3 linked regions of the Nothobranchius furzeri genome follow. The protein of the gene in region 1 interacts with the protein of each later gene in a pairwise test. Links are inferred from orthologs where the notes say so. Each region holds a gene or a part of one and is shown in the gene's direction. Other genes may lie near its edges. The genes, in order: abhd16a, dtx2 and retreg3.

Evidence for each region.
Region 2: the proteins of abhd16a (region 1) and dtx2 interact in binary tests that used the Homo sapiens proteins (3 or more experiments, as listed by UniProt). The two-hybrid records come from large-scale screens. The link is inferred for Nothobranchius furzeri from reciprocal best matches to the Homo sapiens genes ABHD16A and DTX2.
Region 3: the proteins of abhd16a (region 1) and retreg3 interact in binary tests that used the Homo sapiens proteins (3 or more experiments, as listed by UniProt). The link is inferred for Nothobranchius furzeri from reciprocal best matches to the Homo sapiens genes ABHD16A and RETREG3.

Annotation. Positions count from the first base shown.
Region 1 is NC_091745.1:74,541,040-74,548,117, reverse strand, and holds part of abhd16a (phosphatidylserine lipase ABHD16A), read left to right. Parts: intron 1-2,364; coding exon 2,365-2,472; intron 2,473-2,562; coding exon 2,563-2,677; intron 2,678-2,741; coding exon 2,742-2,843; intron 2,844-2,944; coding exon 2,945-3,008; intron 3,009-3,094; coding exon 3,095-3,144; intron 3,145-3,359; coding exon 3,360-3,483; intron 3,484-4,001; coding exon 4,002-4,106; intron 4,107-4,178; coding exon 4,179-4,242; intron 4,243-4,339; coding exon 4,340-4,396; intron 4,397-6,910; coding exon 6,911-6,973; intron 6,974-7,078. UniProt on the Homo sapiens protein: Phosphatidylserine (PS) lipase that mediates the hydrolysis of phosphatidylserine to generate lysophosphatidylserine (LPS). LPS constitutes a class of signaling lipids that regulates immunological and neurological processes.
Region 2 is NC_091750.1:69,046,258-69,054,058, forward strand, and holds the start of dtx2 (probable E3 ubiquitin-protein ligase DTX2), read left to right. Parts: upstream 1-3,732; 5' UTR 3,733-3,955; coding exon 3,956-4,268; intron 4,269-4,814; coding exon 4,815-5,403; intron 5,404-7,801. UniProt on the Homo sapiens protein: Regulator of Notch signaling, a signaling pathway involved in cell-cell communications that regulates a broad spectrum of cell-fate determinations.
Region 3 is NC_091745.1:7,573,817-7,581,498, forward strand, and holds the start of retreg3 (reticulophagy regulator 3), read left to right. Parts: upstream 1-3,704; 5' UTR 3,705-3,819; intron 3,820-4,034; 5' UTR 4,035-4,062; coding exon 4,063-4,310; intron 4,311-5,148; coding exon 5,149-5,255; intron 5,256-5,482; coding exon 5,483-5,513; intron 5,514-5,603; coding exon 5,604-5,730; intron 5,731-5,917; coding exon 5,918-6,002; intron 6,003-6,594; coding exon 6,595-6,732; intron 6,733-7,295; coding exon 7,296-7,375; intron 7,376-7,682. Other genes in the region: tubg1 (tubulin gamma-1 chain), read right to left, coding at 1-55, 2,795-2,907, 3,142-3,190. UniProt on the Homo sapiens protein: Endoplasmic reticulum (ER)-anchored autophagy regulator which exists in an inactive state under basal conditions but is activated following cellular stress.

The DNA of each region.
Region 1 (7,078 bases):
TTCTCCACCTTCACTAACATCCCATCTCCACCAAATACCGAAGACCCAGAACAACGCCCGTCTGCTACTAGATTCCTTTCCTGTTTTGCCCACCTTCGTCTCCCGGCAATGGACAACAACTTCCGGGGTCAGATGCGCTGCTTCGTCTCTACCACAGATGTAGAAAATCACCGGGAGCGCTTCTCCCTTCATTAAGGAGCTTCTTTCAGACATTAGGAGAGCGGTCTTGGTGGTAGCAGTCTCTCCTCTGTGCTGGTCTGTTTGCTGCTGGGTGTTTTTGGTTTATTTAAACTTGGTAACTTGAACTTAACGTTGGTACAGCTACTGTTAGCATCTTCGCTAACAGCTTCTTGCGTTTGGATAAGCTGTTACGTTTTGGTTTAGAGTTCATCGTTTTTGTGGTGCAGATCTCCCTTTTATTCCATTTAGAGTGTTGTGGGTTTTCGGTTTAGTTTAAAATATCACCTTGAGTTTGGTTTAACCACCCAGTTTAGAGTTTGGACCTTTGGATATTCTTATTTTGGTCCAGAACCCTGTAATATTTGCCCAGTGGGACATCCCTACTTATTTGTACTTTTGTTTTAATCCCCCACAGGCAGAATTTGTTTCATTATTCCCAACCTGTGGATGGAAAGATTTGTTTTGTTGTTGTAAATAAACCTGATCATCATTTTAACTTTTAAATCCCGTTATTGTCCCTTCCTTTTTGCACACGAGCCAAACTCCCCAGGAAGGGTCGTAACACCACTCGCCTCACGCAAACAAAGCAGCATGGAGACAGTCCGTCTCCAACCACCTCTCAGGCAGCAGCCTGCTCTCCCACATTCTACACGTCACCAGAACATCTTCGTCTTCGTCTTCGTCTTCCTCCGCTTATCCGGGTCCGGGTCGCGTGGGCAGCATCCCAATTAGGGAGCTCCAGGCCGTCCTCTCCCCGGCCTTGTCCACCAGCTCCTCCGGCAGGACCCCAAGGCGTTCCCGGACCAGATTGGAGATGTAACCTCTCCAACGTGTCCTGGGTCGACCCGGGGGCCTTCTGCCGGCAGGACATGCCCGAAACACCTCCCCGGGGAGGCGTCCAGGAGGCATCCTGACCAGATGCCCAAACCACCTCAACTGGCTCCTTTCGATCCGGAGGAGCAGCGGTTCTACTCCGAGTCCCTCCCGAATGTCCGAGCTCCTCACCCTATCTCTAAGGCTGAGCCCGGCCACCCTACGGAGGAAACTCATTTCGGCCGCTTGTATCCGCGATCTCGTTCTTTCGGTCATTACCCAAAGCTCATGACCATAGGTGAGGATTGGGACGTAGATCGACCGGTAAATCGAGAGCCTGGCTTTCTGGCTCAGCTCCCTCTTCCCCACGACAGATCGGCTCAGCGTCCGCATCACTGCAGACGCCGAACCAATCCGCCTGTCGATCTCCCGATCCCTCCTACCCTCACTCGTGAACAAGACCCCGAGATACTTAAACTCCTCCACTTGAGGTAGGACCTCACCAGAACATAACCAATAAAAGCAGTGTTATACAAAATGGAAGGCTGTAGTGTTTATTCTCTTACAGTAACAATTTATCAATTTTTTGGAGGAATTTATTTGAGATTTTTTGGTTTTTATTAACTGTGCAATAGAAATTTAATCATTAGATTAATTGTCTAAATAGTCATTAGAATAATCGACTATTCGATAAAATAATCATCAGAATAATCGTTTTAAGAATAAGCGTTTACCCCCAGCCCTACTGCGTAATCTACGTCTTCTCCACCCATTTCTGCTGACACACCTGGTCACGCCTCACATTAACTATTGGAAATCTCCTTTTGGTTTCCCTCTCAAGTCATTACATAGACTTCACCTGATTCAGATCTCTGCCACCAGTTTCACAACAGAACACCTTCGGCTCACTATTTTACTCCCGTCTTTCACAAACTTCATTGGCTTCCCTTTATTTACTGCTCCTCAGCTTTAAGGCCATCCATAACCCGGCTCCTTCCTCCCCGTCTGACCTTATCCACACCGATATAACTTCCCACACACTCTCAGGTCATCCTCATTCATCCACATCACTGTTCCTTATCCCCACCCCTACTTCCACTGGAGGTAGAGCATTCAGTCCCGTTTCACCTTACCTCCTGAACTCCAGACATAATGAACTCTTTATGCTTTTTAAATTACACTTGAAAGCTTGTCTGACTTTAATTATTCACACTTGATGTTATTGTTTAAAATGGCCTCTTATTCAATGCAGCTATACTAAATTGTAGTCATGTCATTTAGCTTGCATTACTTCAGTTGTTGTAGAAGTGTAGTGAATAGGTTTGGGTGTATTTAGTGTGTGTATAATGGGTCCGTCGTTCACCTCTGAAGGAAAATGTCCAAAGGTGGCGTTTCTCTGCTGAAGCCCGAGCCCAAACTGAGAGGAACAGCAGACAACGTTCTTTACTCTGTTCGCACTTTACCGTGCCACATCGTTGGGTAAGTGCACGGTTATACTAGCATGTATGTTTCTTATTTCATTTCTCCCAGCGGTTCTACCACAGCATCATTAACAGTTTTCCTCTGCAGCTACCTCATTGCTCACTCTTTTGGGAGGAGGATGTTGTATCCTGGTTCTGTGGGGTTGCTACAGAAAGCCATGAGACCGATGCTGCAGCAAGGCCAGGCTAAGTTGATAGAGGAGGTAAGAGAAGAAATAATCTTCCTCAGAGATGCTGCGTGTCGTATTTGATCATTTTCTGTCACAGTTTGACGGTCAAAGGAACAAGCTGGTGGCCTGCGACGGGAACGAGATCGACACAATGTTTGTGGATCGAAGGAGAGACGGGGGCCCGAACGGCCAGACTCTGGTAAATGTCAGCAGTGATTTGTTGCCTTTGCGCTCAGGGCTGGTTCCAGGGTCCAACAAAACTCCCGTCACCTTACAGATGGTTCTTGAATTCTTCCACAGGTCATCTGCTGTGAGGGCAACGCCGGATTTTATGAGGTGGGCTGCATGAACACGCCTCTGGAGGGTGAGAAATACTGACATTTAAAAGTGCAGAATAATGTTTTAGTCTAAAATGTTGCTAAACAAGTTAACGCTGATCGTTTACTTTAGGTGGGTACTCCGTTCTGGGCTGGAACCACCCTGGCTTTGGAGGCAGCACGGTAAGCAACAGCAGGCTCCATTGTATGTAGGCTGTGCATCATTTAGCTCAAACAAGCGGAGGAGTGGAGAAACTGGTTTGAGTATCACACTAGAACCAGATGCACTCCCGTAGCTGGTTAGTATCAGCAGGAAGGCTGTTTATGTTTTAATGGCTTCAAAGTTCAACGTGTTTCAGTTCTGGGATTTATTTCTGTTCGCTGTACGTTTCCACCAGGGAGTGCCGTTTCCCCAGAACGAGGCGAACGCCATGGATGTGGTCGTCCAGTTCGCCATTCACAAACTTGGTTTCCAGCTGAGCGACATTGTGATCTATGCCTGGTCCATAGGAGGATTCACAGGTGCAGACAGAGCAAACGTTAACGTTCAAACATATGAACTAGCTTGAAAACATTCTAGATGGTTTTAGAAAGTTTTTAAAAAGTATCATTTTTAGACATTTTATCTTTTTTTTTATCTAAAAAGAAAATAAATTATTCTCTAGAAAAACAGTAAGGTAAATATTCTGAAGTATGATCCAGATTTCCTTGTTTTGAGTAAAAAAAAAAATCCGCCAGTGGGGTAAGCAAAAGCTGCTTGGCTAGAAATCCTGAAACAAACCTAGAATTAGATTATTTTGCTATTTGTGAGGTTTCTAGCCGAGCTGCTTACCTCGTTGGCAGATTTTTAACTTAAAACAAGAAAATGTGGATCATATTCAAGAATATTAACCTTATTTTAGGTTATGCTATTTTCTGGAGAAAACACCACAAAATATCTAAAAATGAAGATTTTTTAACTTTCTTAGAAAAACTATTTTTTTGCAGTTTATCTCAAAATGTCCCGGTAACTAATCTCCTTTTTTTTTGTTGTTTCTTAGCCAGTTGGGCGGTGATGTCATACCCAGAGATCCAAGCTATAGTATTGGACGCCTCCTTTGATGACCTCCTCCCTCTGGCTCTCAAAGTTATGCCTGAAAGTTGGAGTGAGTGCCACGAGCTACCGGTTTCAGACTCCTTCAGCAGAAAATATTGTTTCAGTGTTTATTTTTTCTCAGAACCGCTGGTTCAACACACGGTGAGGCAGTACATGAACCTTAACAACGCCGAGCAGCTCATCAAGTGAGTGTAGGGTGGAGCTTGATAAGTTATTGGTAAACAAAAGTGAAACTGTTTCTTGCTCATGTTGACTGATGACTAATAAAGCTACATGTTTCAGATACCAGGGACCAGTCCTGTTGATCAGAAGGACCAAAGATGAGATCATCACCACAACGTAGGTCCCCACCACACAACATGAAACGCTCGGCAGCGCCCTAGCTTACTTTGTTTGGGTTAATTAGATAAAAGAACAAATTTTAGCTTCTGAAATCTTGTGAAATTTCCACACTAATTATGACTTTTCAGATCTGAGTTGTTGCATTTTTTTAATAAAAGTCCTTTGGAAGTTTTCAAGGACCATCCACCTCCACCCTTCTGTCCAGTCGTGGTTACTTCTAGCTGCAGAAAGGAAAATGGGGTTTTTGAAATAACTGAAAATGCTTACTTGTTGTACTTTATAGTTCTGATAGTGCTTGAGTATTATTTCTTTAATGTAGTTTAAAACACCAACATTTAGGGATGCACTTGTATGGAAATATGGGCCGATATCGATATCCAATATTAATATTGTTGTGGCTGATAACTAATATTTACCAATATTCTAAATATATAATAATATTTTATTTAAAATATGAGTGTGTATTGGCAAGATTTTGGTGATCGGATGTATATCGCGATACTAAAAGTCGATATTTGTCGTTTTTAACTCATTCGCTGCCAGCGTTTCTCACCGTTTTTACAGTTTTTTTAAGAGTCACAGAACGCTGCGCGCTAGGATGATGTTGACGCCAAAATGACCAAAACAAAGCGGAGACTCACCTCTTACATCAGGAAGAATCCGCGCGTTTCGAGCCTTATCCCTTCTTTCATAATCCGTTGTTGAATTGTGATCGGCAGAAGCTTTTCCGGTTCGCGCTTCACTTTTTTTTACAGCAGCGGCCCAAAACGATCTCCTAACACATGGATGTTCTGCTTCCTGATCACGTGACGTGTGACGTACGCGGATGAAGATCGGCTTTAAAGCTGAGATGTTTGTTCTCACGGACGGCGTGGGGGCTTGTCCGACGCTCACACAGTAAAAAAAATGCAAAAAAGTGAATGAGTTAAGACTGAATTAATTGGAAAACTCAGGCCAGACGCTTTCAAGACACATCCAGTGTTATCGCAAGATCTTGTTTTTCCGTCACAATGAAGGCGGTAAAAACTGCTGCCACCTAGCAGTCGGAGTTTGAATTGCACCACGCAACAGGAATACTGTAAAAACTGATAAACCACTTTTAAACGTTGATTCAACATCATGACACATAGCATTGCAGTATTTAACGGTGAAAGTCAAAAAATTTAAATACGGTGAAAAAGTCCATTATGTCAGTAATTCAACTGAGAGACCATCTAAAGGCCCAGGAGCCCTTGTGAGACTTTCATCAGCAGTAAGTCATAATGGGGCGACGGTGGCACAGAAGTTAGGTGCTCGCCCTGTAATTGGGAGGTTGCAGGTTTGAGCTCCGCTCAGTCTGTCGCTATGTCCTTGGGCAAGACACTTACCCACCGTGCCTGCTGGTGGTGGTCGGAGGGAGCGGTGGTGCCTGTGTACAGCAGACTCGCCTCTGCTGCCGTACACAGGGCAGCTGTGAATGACTGTTGTAAAGTGCCTTGGGGGGGGGAGGGGGGTCCAATCCAATTTTATTTATAAAGCGCATTCACAAGGCATTACAACCAAACAAGGCGCTGTACACTAAAAATGTAAGTTAATTAAACCGGCGTTATACAATCATGTCGAACACGGATAAAAGATAAAAAGGAAATACAACAAAATTCCCAAAACTAACAGCTAAAAATCAATAAAACACAGGGAGAATGAAAAATTAGAAGAACATTTTAAAAAACCTTAATAATACGGAAGTTGATATTGTGAATTCCATTTTTAAACAGTGCAGATGTAAGTGAGGTTCATAATTATGTTGTATAAGCTAGGTTGAAGTAGTGAGTTTTCAGGCGTGATTTAAACATGCTAGCTGTTGGTGCTAGCCTCACTAGCAGTGGTAACGCGTTCCACAGCTTCGGTGCACAGACAGAGAAAGCCCTTTCTCCACGGCTTTTTAAACGTGCATTCGGAACAGCTAGGAGGAGCTTATCTTCCAGGACTCTAGAAGACACTATATCAAATACAGGCTTGAAATATGTGGCTTTGCATGTAACGAGTCTCTCATATATCAGTTTCACCTTTGAAGTTGAATGACTGACATGAATGATGTTTTGCACCATATTCTCCTTTTTGAGTTTCATCTGTCATCTATTAGACCAGTCAGATTATTAATGGTATTTCTGAAACATTATTTTGGCGTCTGCTTTTGCTAAACCGTTTCAGTTTCCGTCTCTTTCAGCTGATCGGCCACATTGAGTGATGTTTCTGGTTAATGTAAACATGTTGTCTGTATTTTTAAACATGCAGCACTGATCATAACCATAAAAGTTGATAAATTATGCAAATAATCACTTTAAAGGGGGCAGTTAAGTAAAGTTTGAAGCAGGGTGGTGTTTGGATATCATTCATTCATTTTAATAGTACAGGAACAAATGTCCTGTAGTTTGTGGTCGTGAGCCTTTCTGATTAGTGTACAACATTCCTGCTGAGCTGCTCGGATTAAACAGGAGGATGTCTCAAATGCTAACTTCAGATGTGTTACAGCGGTCCAGAGGACATCATGTCCAACAGAGGAAACGATCTTTTGCTCAGACTGCTTCAGTTCAGGTCAGTTTGTTCCCTCTCTCTCACACACACACACACACACACACACACACACACACACACACACACACACACACACACACACACACACCTTGTGTCAGGTTTCTC
Region 2 (7,801 bases), on another chromosome or scaffold:
GAACATTAGCTGGTACCATATGATGTCACAATGTCGTTGTGAGCCTGTGTGTGTGTGTGTATTTGTTAGCAGCTCTGCCCTCTCGGTCTGCTAGGCAACAGCATTTGTTGCATTTTACAAACAGGAAGTGGGAGTGGAGTAATTCTCTGGTAGGGGGTGACTTACTCTTTAAGAAAAACATCCATGAAAGCCGTTTTAACTGCTGGATTATTTATAAAACAGTGACTGGTGAATAAAACAACGGGTTGAATTCACTCTGAAGTGACAGAACTATTGTTTTATTGTAATACTGCACACTCTGAGCTGCGTTTTCATGCAGCCTGAGGTTTGCAAAGGCTCAGATGAACTGTTGCTTGTGTCATACATGTTTATCTCCAGTTGGGGGCAGACATCCTTCTAGGATGGACGAGCGAAAGAAGAGGAAGAGTGTGAAAGAAGAGAGAAAGGCCTAAATGCACACTCTCTAAGCTTTTAATGCAGAAAAGGGAGATTAAAGCACTGCAAGATTTAGCTAAATATGATATTTTTTAGGTATTTGTGTTAGAAACGGGTAAAAATGTGGAACTGTCTGTTGATGGCTGAAGAAACAGGGGTCCACATGCAGGACTACCACCCCCCATCCGTAACACCATCAATAAATCATGGCCTGCTCCACCACCTGCACCCCCACGATGAAACAAAGAACACTGGCTGGATCTGAGCCTCTTCTTCACCTGGAAAAAGACACTCTGAATTATAGTTTATGATGATGCTTCCGCACACAAAAAGACTATTTAAAGCATGTTTACTCACACACTCGTCACCTGAATTAGAAAAATTTTGAAGGCTTTTAAGCTTTCTGAACAGGATATGAATCAATGTTCCACTGAGCTGAGACAGAGCAGCAGAACACCCAAACAAAAGAGAACACAACAAACCATTTATGTGCAGTTTTTTAATGGATCTTCTGATGTTTTTTCTCCACTTCTGCTTGTTTTGTTGCCTGTTTGAGGAGATACTTGTAGACAAAATGAGGCTATTTTGTGTATTTACACATTTTAGGTCTAATTTTCTCCCAGCTTGCTCATTTTATGTCTCATGTGTTTGTTTTCCTGAGTTGAGGTTTGGGACGTAGTGTCCCACTTTGATATTTTTCTCCAAGACGGATTTTAAATTCAGGTTTTTGTTCATTTGTCTCTTGCTGGGTTGGATCTAAAGTTACTAATGTATGGACTTAAATAAATTAATTATTTATGAGAAATGTATATCTGCGATGGACTGGCTCTCTGTCCAGGGTGTACCCCGCCTGATTGCCCATTGACCGCTGGAGATAGGCACAAAGCGGGTTCAGACAATGGATGGATAGATGGATGGATGGAGAATTGTATATTTAAAAACGGAATAATTGATTGCATCATGTCATTACAACATAATTTCACATTTATTTATGCGATTATGTCATAAAAACAAATAAAAATACAACCTGCAGTATCGAGATCCTCCACCAGAGAGCACAATACATCTCTAGATTTAATTGCAGCTTGTTTTTAAGGAAAGAACTAATCCTTTTAAAGAGATAAAACTATTAGAAACAGATAAAAGTATATTGGTATATTATATACCGTATACATACATATACATACATACATACATACATATACATATATATATATATATATATATATATATATATATATATATATACACATACATATATATACATACATACATACATATATATATATATATATATATATATATATATATATATATATATGAATATTTAGGGTTATTATTTTGTTTTTACTAAATCATGTTTCTTCCTCCATTAGCTTGCAGATGTTGAAGGTTTTATTTAATCTGATTCAACTTTATTTAATCCGACATGTTAGTATTATTATGAATATCATTATTTTTATTATGATTTTAGGATCCTTCTGTACGTTTTTCATCGTATACATCTCTTACAGTTTTTCAGCAATTAACGCAAATGGGGTCACACGGTGTTTAGCTCGTTTAGGGAAAGCAGGCTAGGATTTTTGTTGGACATTTTAAAATGTTTTTAAAGATATTCAACGTTAAATTCTTAATTGGATGAGACCAACGTCATAGGTATGGTAGCCATAGCAACCAAGTGGGCGGAGCCTAACTTCAAAGGCACCTTGGTAACTAAGGAAACAGCATTCAAACAGCAACAACTCTGAGGTTTTTTTCTTTTTATGGAGACACTTTGCAACTTTTCATATTTTTAAATCATTTTCTTGAGCCAGTGTGTGCTAGAAAAACCATTTACAGGGTTAATGAAATGCCACCCAGCCCTTTTCACACTCTGGAGACAGAATATTCCACTTGCAGCTTCGCAGTTGCTGATCAGGTCTGCTTATATGGTGCTGCAGTCTGGCTCCAGCACGTTTCCTGCATGTTTTAGATCATGAACACAGCTGATTTGTTTAATTTAATTTAGTGATTAATAAGCCATGTAGACAGTAATGAAGGGGATACGTTTCAGCTGTTAGATTTAAGCAATTCATACTTTTTTGTCTGTGTCAGCCAGGATAGACACGCCACTATGAGTCGATGCAGGAGCGCTTTGACAGGCTTGCAGAGGCTGATGGAGACACGCCCCAAATTTTAACTGTCCATTGAAAGAGACGGAGAGCGCAAGCTTGTGATTGGTCAGGAGGCTGCTTCTTGTTTTTATTGGTCAACAGCACCGTCTTTGCCTCTTCAAAAGGTCAAAAGATAGCGGCAAAAACAGAACAGGTTGAAAAACGCATCGAAGAAAGTCTGAAAATATGAACTTTTATTCACCTGTGACTGAAGGAGAGCAAAGATATGCAGCAAGCGTTTTATTCGTGGACAGAAAAGATGATAAACGTGGGTTTAGAGGTACTGATCGCATAAAGAGGTGAAGATCAATGAGGGACAAATCTGTCCGTGTCAAAAAGTCTCTGGAATACATTAAAACAATGTAAACACAATACCATCGTGGACCGGCTACGTGACTGTAATGGTAGCAGGATCCCTCAGAATAGCACTACGCTCTCGGTTATCTTGGCGGGAAATTGTTTTGCAACACTCCCTAGCTGATGGAGAAATTTGAAAGCAAAATGTCTCTGTCAATGCGAGTATGTCTCTCCATCGCAGAGCTGAAGTATAAATTAGGCTTGAGGTGTTGAAAAGACAAACGCACAGATTGGTTTTGCTTTCTTTCTACAAACGGACACTAGGGGGTGCTAAAAGCAAGCCTAAACTGCCCAATCTCCCTTTAAAAACGTATTGGATCCAGTCACTAGGGGGCGCTTGTTTTGCTTTTGTTTCAACTTCTGTGTTGCATTCAAATGCCTCTGTTTTTACAAATCATTCAAAGTTTACTAGTATGAATAAAGCGTCAATTAATTAAATAGTAAAGCAAAAATGCTAACATTAAAATATATATTTGATCTAACTTGGGCTGGATTTTCAAAGATGCACAAGTTTACTAGTTTGCTTTAAATGTTTTGCTTGAGTTTGCTTTAAAGGTTAAAATAAAGTTATTAATCTTTAACGAAATTAATTTTCACGAAATTTTCATCCAGCTGGTGCAGAAAAATCACAATCTGCTGGAATAAATGAATTAATGTGTAAAAGGAGATCGGGTGAATGAGGAAGCTGTTTCCCATAGACCAGCGTTTCCGAGGCACGTCTGCTGAGTACTGCTATTCCCGACGGGCCTTGAAGGCAGCGGTCCAGACTGGAAGGCTCCATGGTGATGTTGTCACCACTCGGCCGCCTTTGGTCTTTCTGAACGCAACAGCTTTGTCAACATGAACCCGAATGTTTGTCTCGGTCGTGTTGGGTTCGAGCCTCGCCTCGGAACTTCCTTGTAGGCGCGTGCACACTTTCGGAATGGAGTTTTTAACGAGCCTAGCTAGCTAGTCGCTGCGTCTTCGTCGTAGCCACAATCAGCTAACCAGTTGTGTTGTTAGCGAATAACATGGCGATTGTGTCTGGTTCCTGCGCCCGGGTGAACGGCTCCAGAAACGGGCCCTCGCTGCCGGTTTTGCCGTCCGGTTCCGTTGGACCATCCCAGCCCATGATAGCGGTGTGGGAATGGCAGGACGACCAGGGCTATTGGCGGCCTTACAGCGGCCAAGTCAGCGCCTACATCGAGCGTTGTGTGTCCCGGCGCGGGCCCAGAGGAGGCGGAGGAGCCGGCTCGACGAGCATCTGCCTCGGACAGTCAGACCCCAGTCTGTCGCCCTACCTCATTGACATACCGAGCCTGAAGCAGTTCCGGCAGGACACAGGTGAGCACGACCTCTTCCTTTAATAACCGCAATAATAAACGCGTTTCCTCGTATCGTCACAGTGACCGGCCTAGCTGGTTTCGCTTTACATCAGCTGGAGGAAATACGAGTCATGTTTCTGGGCTTCATTCTCAGTGAAAACATCAGGATCGTTCTCATTACTCGTCCTAGAGCTGGACAGCTTAATCATGTTGGTTTGAATGATTAAACCGTGCAAATACTTAGTTAAATGACTGAGCTGTTAGAGCGTCATGTGGGAGGATGTTGAATAACTCAGGACTTTTACCTGACATGGCTTTGAAACGTGTGTTTTATACAAAAACCACACAAGAAAGGGGCTTAAAAACATTAAAAATATGAAAATAGATGTAAAGTCATCTTCGAGTACAAACGTTGAAGTATAAAATGGGTGAATAATGTGGGAAATACATGAAAAGAACAGTTACTGTTGATGAAGGTGCCAGTCTTGGGTCTTGACCAGGTAATGTTGGTTTAAGATGCTTTACTCACAAATACACACTAAAGGGTTTGTTGTTTACTTTCCAGGGACGACCCGGTCAGTGCGGCGCTCCCTGTTCGCCCAGTCTTCAGGCCTCGGCAGCGGTGTCTACTGGGAATGGGTCAACGATGAAGGAGGTTGGACTCCGTACGAGACCCGGACCTCCATCCTTCTAGAGCACAGCTACCAGGCCCGCCAGGGCACGGCCGACCTGGGCCCGCATGGGTACAATTACATAGTGGATCTCACCTCTCTGGCCCAGGTGAACAAATCCACAGGCTTCAGGCGCCAGGTGCGGCGACAGTGCAACCTCCCCTACCCGTTGGCCTCCTCCGGCCCCCCTGCCATCCCCTCAGCCCCTGCCTGCTCCTGCCAGCAGTGTTTGAGCCACAGCAGCACCGGACCCATTCCCAGCCGCTCACGCCATTCCTTTTCCTCGGGGAGTCTGAACCGACCCAGCCTCCAGGGGATGGGGTGGGTCGCTGCCGCTCACCCGACTTCTGTTTACTCGCCGTATCCCAGGAGACCCCTCTCTGTGGGGGGGATGTCCTGGGGCAGCCCCTGGCCCCCACTTGCCTCTGCTAGTCACATACCTGCGCCACACCTGGGCAGCTCCACCAGCGTTAATGGTTTAAGGTGAGTGTGACACATTAAACCACAGCGGGGGACTGAAGGATGTCCTCCAGCCCCCCCGCCCTCTCTGTCCTTCCTGTCTGTCTCCTCACTGACCCATCCTGTCAAACAGGAGGTCCGGAGCTCTAACACATCAGTGGTGTGTTTGTTTTGGCTCACTTCCCCTCATTTCCATCTTTGTCATCTGATCTTCCTTCTTCTCATTCCTAATGGCACAGAGAGCAGCTCCCAAAGTCAAACGACTAGCTTAAGCGGTGCAATGGATATGTAGCTCACTCTCAGTCCTGGGGTCTCAGTTTCCTCCACACTGCATATTAATCAGGGATGTGTATTTTTGAAATTCTGGCGATACGATACGATCACCATACAGGGGAGACGATACGATATATCACGATATATTGCGATACATTCAGTCAGACGTTACAAGCAATTTTTTTTTTTACAGAATTTATTGTAAGAATGTTCAATAAACAGTCCAAACTGATATATAACATGTTTAACATGAGGTATCTGAACCATGATGGAGGGATTTACATTTCAATGGTGGAAACAAAACCCGTTGCACACTGCTGCCAACTAGCGGGTGGCGATTGAATTGCACAAAACGAAAAGAAAATACACAAATGTTTGCATGTAAATTCTTTCAAGAATTAGATACACGGCTTTTGAATTTCAATGTAATATTTACAGGGGAAAAAATCACGATATATTGTCATATCGATATTTCCGATACACGGCTTTTGAATATCGATATAATATTGCTGGAAAAAAATATCACGATATATTGCCATATCGATATTTTCTTGCATCCCTAATGTTAATAATCCTGAGTTAATTCTAATTTTCTACATTTTTGAATGTTATTCATGTTTAATGTTCCACCCTTGCACGACGCGTTTTTGTACTAATTATAGTAGATGTCTGCTTATTCTTGCATTAACTTTTTGATGATCTGTGAAGTAATAGTTTTGTAAAACCCAAAAAGCTTCGTCACGCCGGATTTGCCGACTTTCTGTTTTTAAAATATTTCTGATCAGTAAACAAATCAGCATAACACCAACATAACCAGAGTAGATAAAAAAAATGCTGTTTTTAAATAATTATTTCATTTATGAAGGAGAAAAATTGTCAAATCTTGCAAAAAATGTGAGAAAGTAGTTGCTTTTGGACCCATCTGAGTCCTGATCCCACCAGGTCTGCTGGATGAAAAAATTCACTTCAACATTTGAGTTCCCTAACCTTAGTTGAAACAGATTAAAATTATGCTGCACAGAGTAATTTCATAAATAAAAATTATGCTAAATATAAATTTTTGGGTAACTGGGTGGTGAAGGTGAGGGTCAGGGTTGTTTTTTCTGAACAATCTGGACGTTTTCCACCTTATTTTCATGCTAAAATGTCAATAACATCAGCTGATGCTCAAAATGTCTGAACTCTGCAGCAGCAGCACGGCGCTGCCCGGGAATGCGCCTGGCTTTAAATCTGCCGATGCGTCTAGCGTAGATGAAAGCTGTGCCAATCATCATCTCAGGTTTTCTTTGTCCAGTACTGAATCTGAAGTAGAGCGGGGGCGATGCGGCCTAAAAGCAATATCACCATATATTGAGGATTTCACCTCGATAACGATGAATGGATAATAACTACGGGTATGTGCAGAAACAAAAGTTGTCCACTAGGCGGGGCTGTCACGTGTATTAGGTTGAGCCACATTTTTATGAGACTCGAGCTGGTGCAGCGTCTTAAAGGGACATGAACGTTGCCAACGTCCACACGTCTTTAAAAAATGTTTTTCATCACATTTATTGACATGGGAAAAATGATCGATCAGTCAGACATTTTGATAACAACAAATGTTTTATTTATTGCCCAGCTTTAATCTGAAACATGTAAGTGTGGCAAATAAAAAATAATCTAGAAGGGTGTGTATGCTTTATACAGCATCTTAAAGAGCAAGTCACCCCCTACCAGAGAATTACTCAACTCCCACTTCCTGTTTGAAAAATGCAACAAATGCTGTTGCCTAGCAGACCCAAGAGCTGCTAACAAACACACACATACACAGGCTCACAACAACATTGTGACATCATAATGTACCAGCTAATGTCATAGGGTACCTCTTAGCCAATAGCGAAGGCAGATTTAAATTCAAATGCAGTGCAGAGTTTTTACCTGACAACGGCACGACGCTGACAGTTTTAGGCAGAATATTCAAATTTTAACTAAAATGCACTAAAGTGCTAAACTGTTAACCACACGTGTCTGCAGCACGATTAGACACACATTTATATAGTTTATCAGAAAAAACAGTTGATTTGGGGGTGACTTGCTCTCTAAATAGGTGACTTTCTCACCGGTCAGAGTGGGTAGAACAGCCACACAGTGAGTTTTTTTTCCTATAACT
Region 3 (7,682 bases), about 67 Mb from region 1:
CACGGGGCTCAAGATCCAGAAGAACAGCACGAGGGATGTAGTGCTCGTCATCAGCCTGTGGAGTTGATTTAAACCAGGAATTAGACGGTGATAGTTCTCAATCCATCCATGCACGCAAGAACAGCTGCTTGGTTGTCCCAGGTTACAAAGACGCCATCTGGTGGCAAATAACAGTGGTGCACCTCGCAACAATCACTATATAGAATCACACTTTCCTTGCTTTATTTCTAAATTTCATTCTTGGATTTCTCTAAGCTGATGTGAAGTGTGTGCAAGCCGTGATGAAGCAACAGAAGAGGAAAAAGAACATAATCCACACTCTGATCAGTCATTTTAAACTGGAGGGATTAATGGTTGACACAGCCTCACTGTGACCAATGTTTTGTTACAGAAAAATATTTACTTAGATGAATAAAAATATGTGTGGAAAGATATTTAAGATTTTCCCTTTTTTATGCCCCCTTCAGCTGCATCCGATATCAAAAACAAACAAAGACTTTCCTCTCAAATCCATTTCTGTGCCACGGAACAAAGACAAAAAAGGAAATTAGGAGCCACAAACTTCGTAGCAGAATGAGATATATTGGATATACAATGAGTTCTTTCTTTTTTTTTTACTTCATAAACTGCTATTTATAAAGTAAATGTTCACGTTTTCTAACTATAAGATGATCCGTTCATATATGAGAAACTAGGGCTGCACAAAAGGGTCATTTTAATCTGTAAGGCACTCTGAGCTGCATCAACTGTATGAAATGTGCCTTATAAATAAAGTTTGACTTGAAAACCCCAAATAAAAAAACAAAAAAAAAAAACGTGGGTTCCAGAACTTTGCAGCATACTGTAAGGGACACAGACGTACTATGTATATCTATGTAATAAACTATGTAAAATTGCACAAGTATTGAACACATACTGAGTATTGCATTGGTGTTATTGTGTAACAGGATAATGCCAGTACAGCTTAGACTGAGGAGTTATCCACTCTCACTGCAGAGGGGATGAATGACCTACGGTAGCGTTCTGTTTTACATCTGGGATGTCTCAATCTGCCTCTGAAGGAGCTGACCATGGTCTCCACAGTGGAATGCAGTGGGTGGGAGTTTTTTTTTTAAGATGGTGGTCATCTTCCCCAGCATCCTCCTTTCACACATCTCCTCAACTGAATCCAGTGGGCAGCTCAGAACTGAGCTAGCTTTGTAAACTAGCTTGCTCAGTCTCTTCCTGTCTCGGTCAGAGCTGCCTGCACCCCAACAGACCACAGCAGAGTGTTTAACAGATCCAACCACAGAGTGATAGAAGGATTTTAGCAGCTGGGGATTAATTCTGAAGGACCTCAGCCTCCTCAGGAGGCGGAGGCAGCTTTGGCCATTCTTATAAGGAGCATCTGTGTTGTTGGACCAGTTCAGTTTGCTGTTGAGGTGAATGTCTGCTGCCTGGAACTTTACTGGTGAGCGAGGAGGAGTGTTTCTCTGGAAGTCAACCACCATTTCCTTTGTCTTACTGGTGTTCAAGCAAAGGTGATTATGTTCACATCGGTCAACAAAGTCCATGATGACTGACCTGTACTCCTGATTCCCCTCAGACACACAGCTGACAATGGCCGAGTCATCAGAGAACCTCTGGAGGTGACAGCTGCTGGGGTTGTAGGTGAAGTCCGAGGTGTAGTAGGTGAATAGAAAGGGAGAGAGCACTGTACCCTGTGGAGCTCCAGTACTGCACACAACCACCTCAGATGTACAGTTGTGCAGCCTCACGTACTGTGGTCTGTTGGTGACGTAGTTGATGTCCATACAATCAGATGTTCGTCCACTCCTGTACCCCTCATCTTCTGCTGCAGTAGACGTGGTTGGATGGTTTTGAAGGCAATTAAGTAGTCAAAGAACATGATTCTCTCAGTGCATTTTTGCATCTCAAGGTGAGTCAAAGCCTGATGCTGCAGGTAGATGAGTGCGTCCTCCACCTCAATGTTTGGTTTATATGCTAAATGCAGTGGCTCTATTTCCAGGCTCTCCACTGAACGTAGATGGGTGAGGATGAGTCTCTCTAGTCTTCATAAATGGGAGGTCAAGGAGACTGGTCTGTAATAGTCTAGTTCGAGGATGTGATGTTTTGGGAACTGGAACCACACAGGAATTCTTCCACAGGATGGAGACCTGCTCCAACTGAAGGCTCAGGTTGAGCATGTGTGTGACCACTTCACAAAGCTGGTCAGCACAGTCTTTGAGCAGGCTGATCCCGTCAGGATCTGCTGCTTTTCTGTTCTTAAGTTGCCTCAGTTCTCTCCTCACCTGGTCAGATGCAAAAGAGGGGGGGAGTGTGGTGCTGAGGGGAGTTGGTGGTGGGGGAGAAGCAGTTGAATGGTGAATAACCTGAATTAGCTTCCTTCTACTCTTTCTGCCAATTCTGCTTTTCCCATGATTGCCTTTTCTTGTTCACTCTTTTCCCTTTCCTCACATCTTTTGATCACAATTTTTGCTTTTCCCAATTTTATGATATCTATCTAGTCATTTTTAATTTTTTTTGTTCTTGAGTTAAGTAGATATTTATTACAAGTCATGTTGCAATTGCAATATTAATCAGCATTATCGCTGGTTTTCCAAACATCTTGCAGCCCTATTAGAAACCACCATGTACAATGTGTCTTCTTGGCTGAGAGGACTTTGTAAGAAGTTGTCTTGGTTTAAACGTTTTAAGGAAGCGTATCCTCGTGTTGACATTCGTCAGGGGGTTAACTAATTCTATAATTTCACATCAACAGATGATAAAATATAAAAATGTATGCTCCAACTACCTGATAAAAAAACACGTCTTTTCTATCAGTCCCTTCAGTGGCGAACTCCTCCACAATGCCCTCCGGGCTGATGCCATGTTCTGCACACAGCTGCTTCCAAAACTCGAATCCAACTGCAAAACAGAGGTGGAAACGTGAACATGCTGAGTTAAAAGACAACGGGAAACACACAAACACAGAGACATTTGCTGACTGACTGACACTGCTAGCTAACGTTAACTCGTTACCATCAATAAGAATTCGCCATTATTATGCTAGGTTACAATAACACTGGATGTTTGCTAGCCTGTTTTAACAGAATCGCTTCCGTTTGAGTAGAAGGTTGGAAACATTTAACCGTAACTTACTTTGATTTCCACATTGTCCCAGCTGAAGAGTTATAATTTCCCGCGGCATGATCGCTCTTTATTTGCTCCCTATTTAGCTAGCCTGTTTACTAGCTAAATACACGGCTAAATGTATAGTTCCCACCGCTAAACCACTCCTAGCCCGCTCCTTCCCGCTTGTTACTATGTCCACTCCTTTACGTATTACCGAAGCATGAGCCGTATAAACAACCACGAATACTCATCGAAGGAGTGTCGCTGTGAAGTCTGCCAATATAAATGGAGCAGACCCACTGAACTGACGCTTCTAATTTGCCTCTGCAAGTTAATTTGGTTGCTGCCATCTGTTGTGCTGGAAGAAGATAGTGGGCCACAGTGTTTTCAAACTAAACAACTTTGCCAATCCAAAACGCAGAACATTATATATTTCAGAAACAGATTTCGCTTTTATTTGAATAAAGTGTTGAAATGGAATGAGTTTACATATGTAGTTTAATTGAAAAATCATTTTCTGGAATAACAACTGCTGTTTTTATGAAAGGCACAAAAACAAGCCGTGGTGTCCTTAAACGCACCATGACGCAGCAGGTTAGGCCAATTCCGATTGGACCGTTCAGCAGTCGGAAAAACAGGATACGCCATATTTACAGGTTTTGAAGAGTACGGAGCGCTACATTTCTGGTTAAAAATGACAGTATAGTAAGTGTCAGCTTGTTCTTAAATGTTCTAACTATAGCTTTAGTTAACATGCTTATTTTTAATGTATCAAGACGTATAGTTGTGGACAGTGAGACAGTATTTCAGCTGGCGTGTCTCGCTGTTAGTCCATCCGTTAGCAAAGGTGTTGTGACCGCTGTGGTAACCCTCTTAATCTGTTTACCTGTTTCCTCTTCGCTTTTATCGTTACTTTACAGGTTGATTCCATGAACAGTTGACGCTAAGATGGCGCACACTGGAGCAACAGAAGCGGGATCCATGGAGGATGGATCTGCCAAGCAGGGGTCCGGGGTCTGTCTGCGAACTCGGTCAAGCTCCAGTGAGAGAGATGGTCGGGTTCGGGCTGTCAGAGCCATTCTTCTTTCCAAGCTGGGCCCAAACGAGCCCCATCTCACCTATCTACAGTCCGTCCTGGTGTGGGAAAGACCTCTTCATAGCATTCTGCTCTACATTGTTATCAACGTAGTGTTCTGGTGGGTTTTCTTGTTTTCTTGCAAATCTGTCAGTACTGAGTTTGACTGGAGATCATGCCAGCAATCAGCTGGTGCTTTTACACGATCCAAGAGCTTCACCTGTCGAGTTAATTCTGCACTGGTGGTAGATAACGTGGTGGTCCTAATTATCGAATCATCGAATTTAACTGTTCCTGCAGAAACATAATGTTGGGTCATGGTTTATCCACAATAACCCTAATAGCCTAACTCTAACCAATTAGTCACCACAGATAATCTTGTTTTCCCATTTTTGCTGTGGGATTGTTTTTTTTTAGTAGATTAAGAGTTGCGTTGCTTCAGATCTTAAGCTAGGGCTCAACAAGAGAATTTGCACATTTTGTTTACATTTGTTACTGTTACCACCACTAACCTAAATGCTAATACCTTGTGACCTGCTGATGTCCTCTTGGTGAGGATAATCTCCCAAGATTGGCAGAATTCTGCAGCGTTATTGTGGTCCAGACATTTCTAAAGTCTTGTGATCTCAAACAGGAGCAGTGGCAAAATAATGGGACTTCTGACAGCGCTTCTTAATACAGATTACACGTATCAACTGTAGCATTTTCATCAGATTAGAAAAGATCCTTATCGATCAAAGCTGATCTGAACTGTCACCTTTCCCGTCAGGAGAAGATGTAAAATATCTGACTGGGTGAAAACCTCTTTCTTTATTCTAGAACAGAAGGTTTTTTTTTTTTTTTTTTTTTTTTTTTGCTGTTTGGTGTATTCTGTAGAGTTGTGTCCATAATTCTTTGTTGAATCCAAAGGGAACAGTCCAGAGATGAAATATCTGTTTGTATGTTTTATTTCCCTCTAGGTTTTTTGCCCTAACGTCACTGCGCCTGCTGTTCCTGCTGGCGTCTGGCCTCGCTGTGCTTGTAGTTGTTGATACCTGGAGGAATAGGATCTGGCCAGAGATCAGAGGTGCTGCACTTTATTTCAATAGGGGCTCTTCCTTTTTAAGATTATATATTTCCTCCCACAACTTTGAGAAACACTATTTCACGAATAGATTTGATAAAACTCAGACTTTCTACATTAACAATAATCAAACTAACACGTGCTATTGGTTACTTTCTGCACTCTTGTTGGTTTATATTAAGTCCTAATGCTTGAGGCAGGTTTTGAAAGCGGTTGTCCTCTCTCCACAGTCAGAAAGCTGGATGAATCAGAAAATGAGAGGTCAGTGAACGTCGTCTAAAATCAGCCGTTACTCTGACATCACCGTATAACACAACAGGCAATCTGAAGGAATCGTATCTGTTTGTGCAGCTGGGGTCTGGTACAGCCCGGTGTCCTCAGCGTGCCTGAGCTGTGCCACCACCTTGCAGAGGCCTGGGTCAGTGCATCGGTTTTCAGATCCGATATGATGGAATACAAACGTCAAAACCCTGGCAATGTGAGCACTGCATACTATAAACCATTTTACCTACAGATTACTCACACCCTTATTTGGATTAACCCGTTCATCATGACTCTACAAATTATTAATCCATCAAGATTCCCTAAGCTCTGAACAAACACTCTACTGTTGGCACTCTTGGTTTGTTCTGACCTTTGCCCACACGTGTCTTGTTCTGTGACAGTTCTGCATCATGACCTGTGGCGTGTTCTCCTGCTTGGCTCTGATTGGAAACTACGTCCCTGGATTGGTGCTCTCCTACTCTGCCTGTGAGTCCCAGCAGTTTAGCTGGTCCTAACTACAGAAGGCTGTGTTGGCAGGGAAACTCAGCCCGACTAGTGTGTTTAAAAATGCATGGGTGTTGAAACCAGATCTGCTGGGCCTTGGTACCGGGCTCTGCTCCATGTGGTGATTAAAGCCGGGATGAGACACACAAGAAGGGAGAGAAGGAGAGCAGGGAGTCGGGCTTAAAGCTAAGGAGGTCAGGCGTAGAGTGGACTAATCTCCTAACCTTCAGCCAGTGTAGACCTCCGAGCTCAGCATGGGGCACCAATCCAAGCCTAATAGTCCTGTGTCCATGCTTACATTAGATTAGATTTAGCTTTAAACAAGGAGACAAATACAGTCTAGCATCTAGTGCAATACCAGAAAATGTGGTGTGTCGAGTGTGCGTTTAGGAGGGGTTATGTTCATATAGGTTTTGTTCAAGGAGAGCAGAATGAAAACGTGAGGCTAGATAGACAATATACAGGTGTAATATGAACAAGTACGCACATACACCGTATAAAACACATATTTGGTTTGCTAAACATAATTTTCTCTTTTTTTGCATCATTTGTGCTCTTTTCCTTTTGACTCCAGTGCTAGCCACCCTCCTGGCCCCTCTGGGTGCCTATCACAGGGTTTTCCAGGGTGTGTGTGCGAAGCTGGAGCCAGCCCTGCAGAGGCTGGACTTCAGCGTTCGTGGATACATGATGTCAAAGCCCATCGACAACCAATGTAAGTCACAGAAACATGTTTAGCCCTGTTATTCATTTTATAATACCAATCAGATCCGTTAGATTTTAGCAGAAACTCGTCGTTTCTCACTTTTAACATTTCAGCAAGAAGTTTTTTTTTCATTTACTGATAGTTGGCAGGCTGTTCTGTTGTAATGGCTGGTTCTTTAGCGCCCTCCGGTGGCCGTAAAAAGATGTTCAGTTTTATTAAACAGATATGTTGTTTTGCTAGAAGAACTTTCCTGTTGCCATTTTGTCTGAGGCACTTTGTTGTTTAATTGCTAGAGTCACATTAGTTTTACTTCTGTTTTTTTTCTGGGTTTATTTCATATAGAAACTGAATGCAACAGCAGTCCAGAGTCTTAAAAGGATGATTTAGTTGTTCATAATTCAAAATCTGATAGGATGTGATGAGAAAAGCTGCTTTTTATTATTGTTTGTTGTTCTATAAATTCAGTGCAACTCCGCAGAGCTTTGTGTGTATTGTTAGTTTGGTTTTGGAACATGTTATAAGGGCCTAAGGGCAATAATGAGTTATTTATCTGCTTCATCTAAACTTTCCAGTCCTGCGAATGCCGATCCGCAGTGCAGCCTCGGGTGAAGCCAGCGACAGTGAGGAGGAGTTGGCTGCTTTCTGCCCAACTGTAAGTTCCTTAAACCTTTATATTCAAGTTGAGTTTTTCTGATTTGTGAACAGAAGCATCTCAACTACAATAGAAACAGCAATAATACGTCTGTTACCCTTTCAGTTTATTCAGTATTTAGCACAACCTAAAGCGCAGCATTGATCTAATACCAAGCGTTTCCTCTACATCTCTTGGTTTGTCCTTTAGCACACCTCTGGTTACAGTAGCACATCAAGCACTTTTCCTGTTGTGGTTGGCTTGCCACTGCTTTTTTGTTTATGCTGAAGTCTGTGAGAGCAAACAGGGAGGACATAAAACCGAAAGC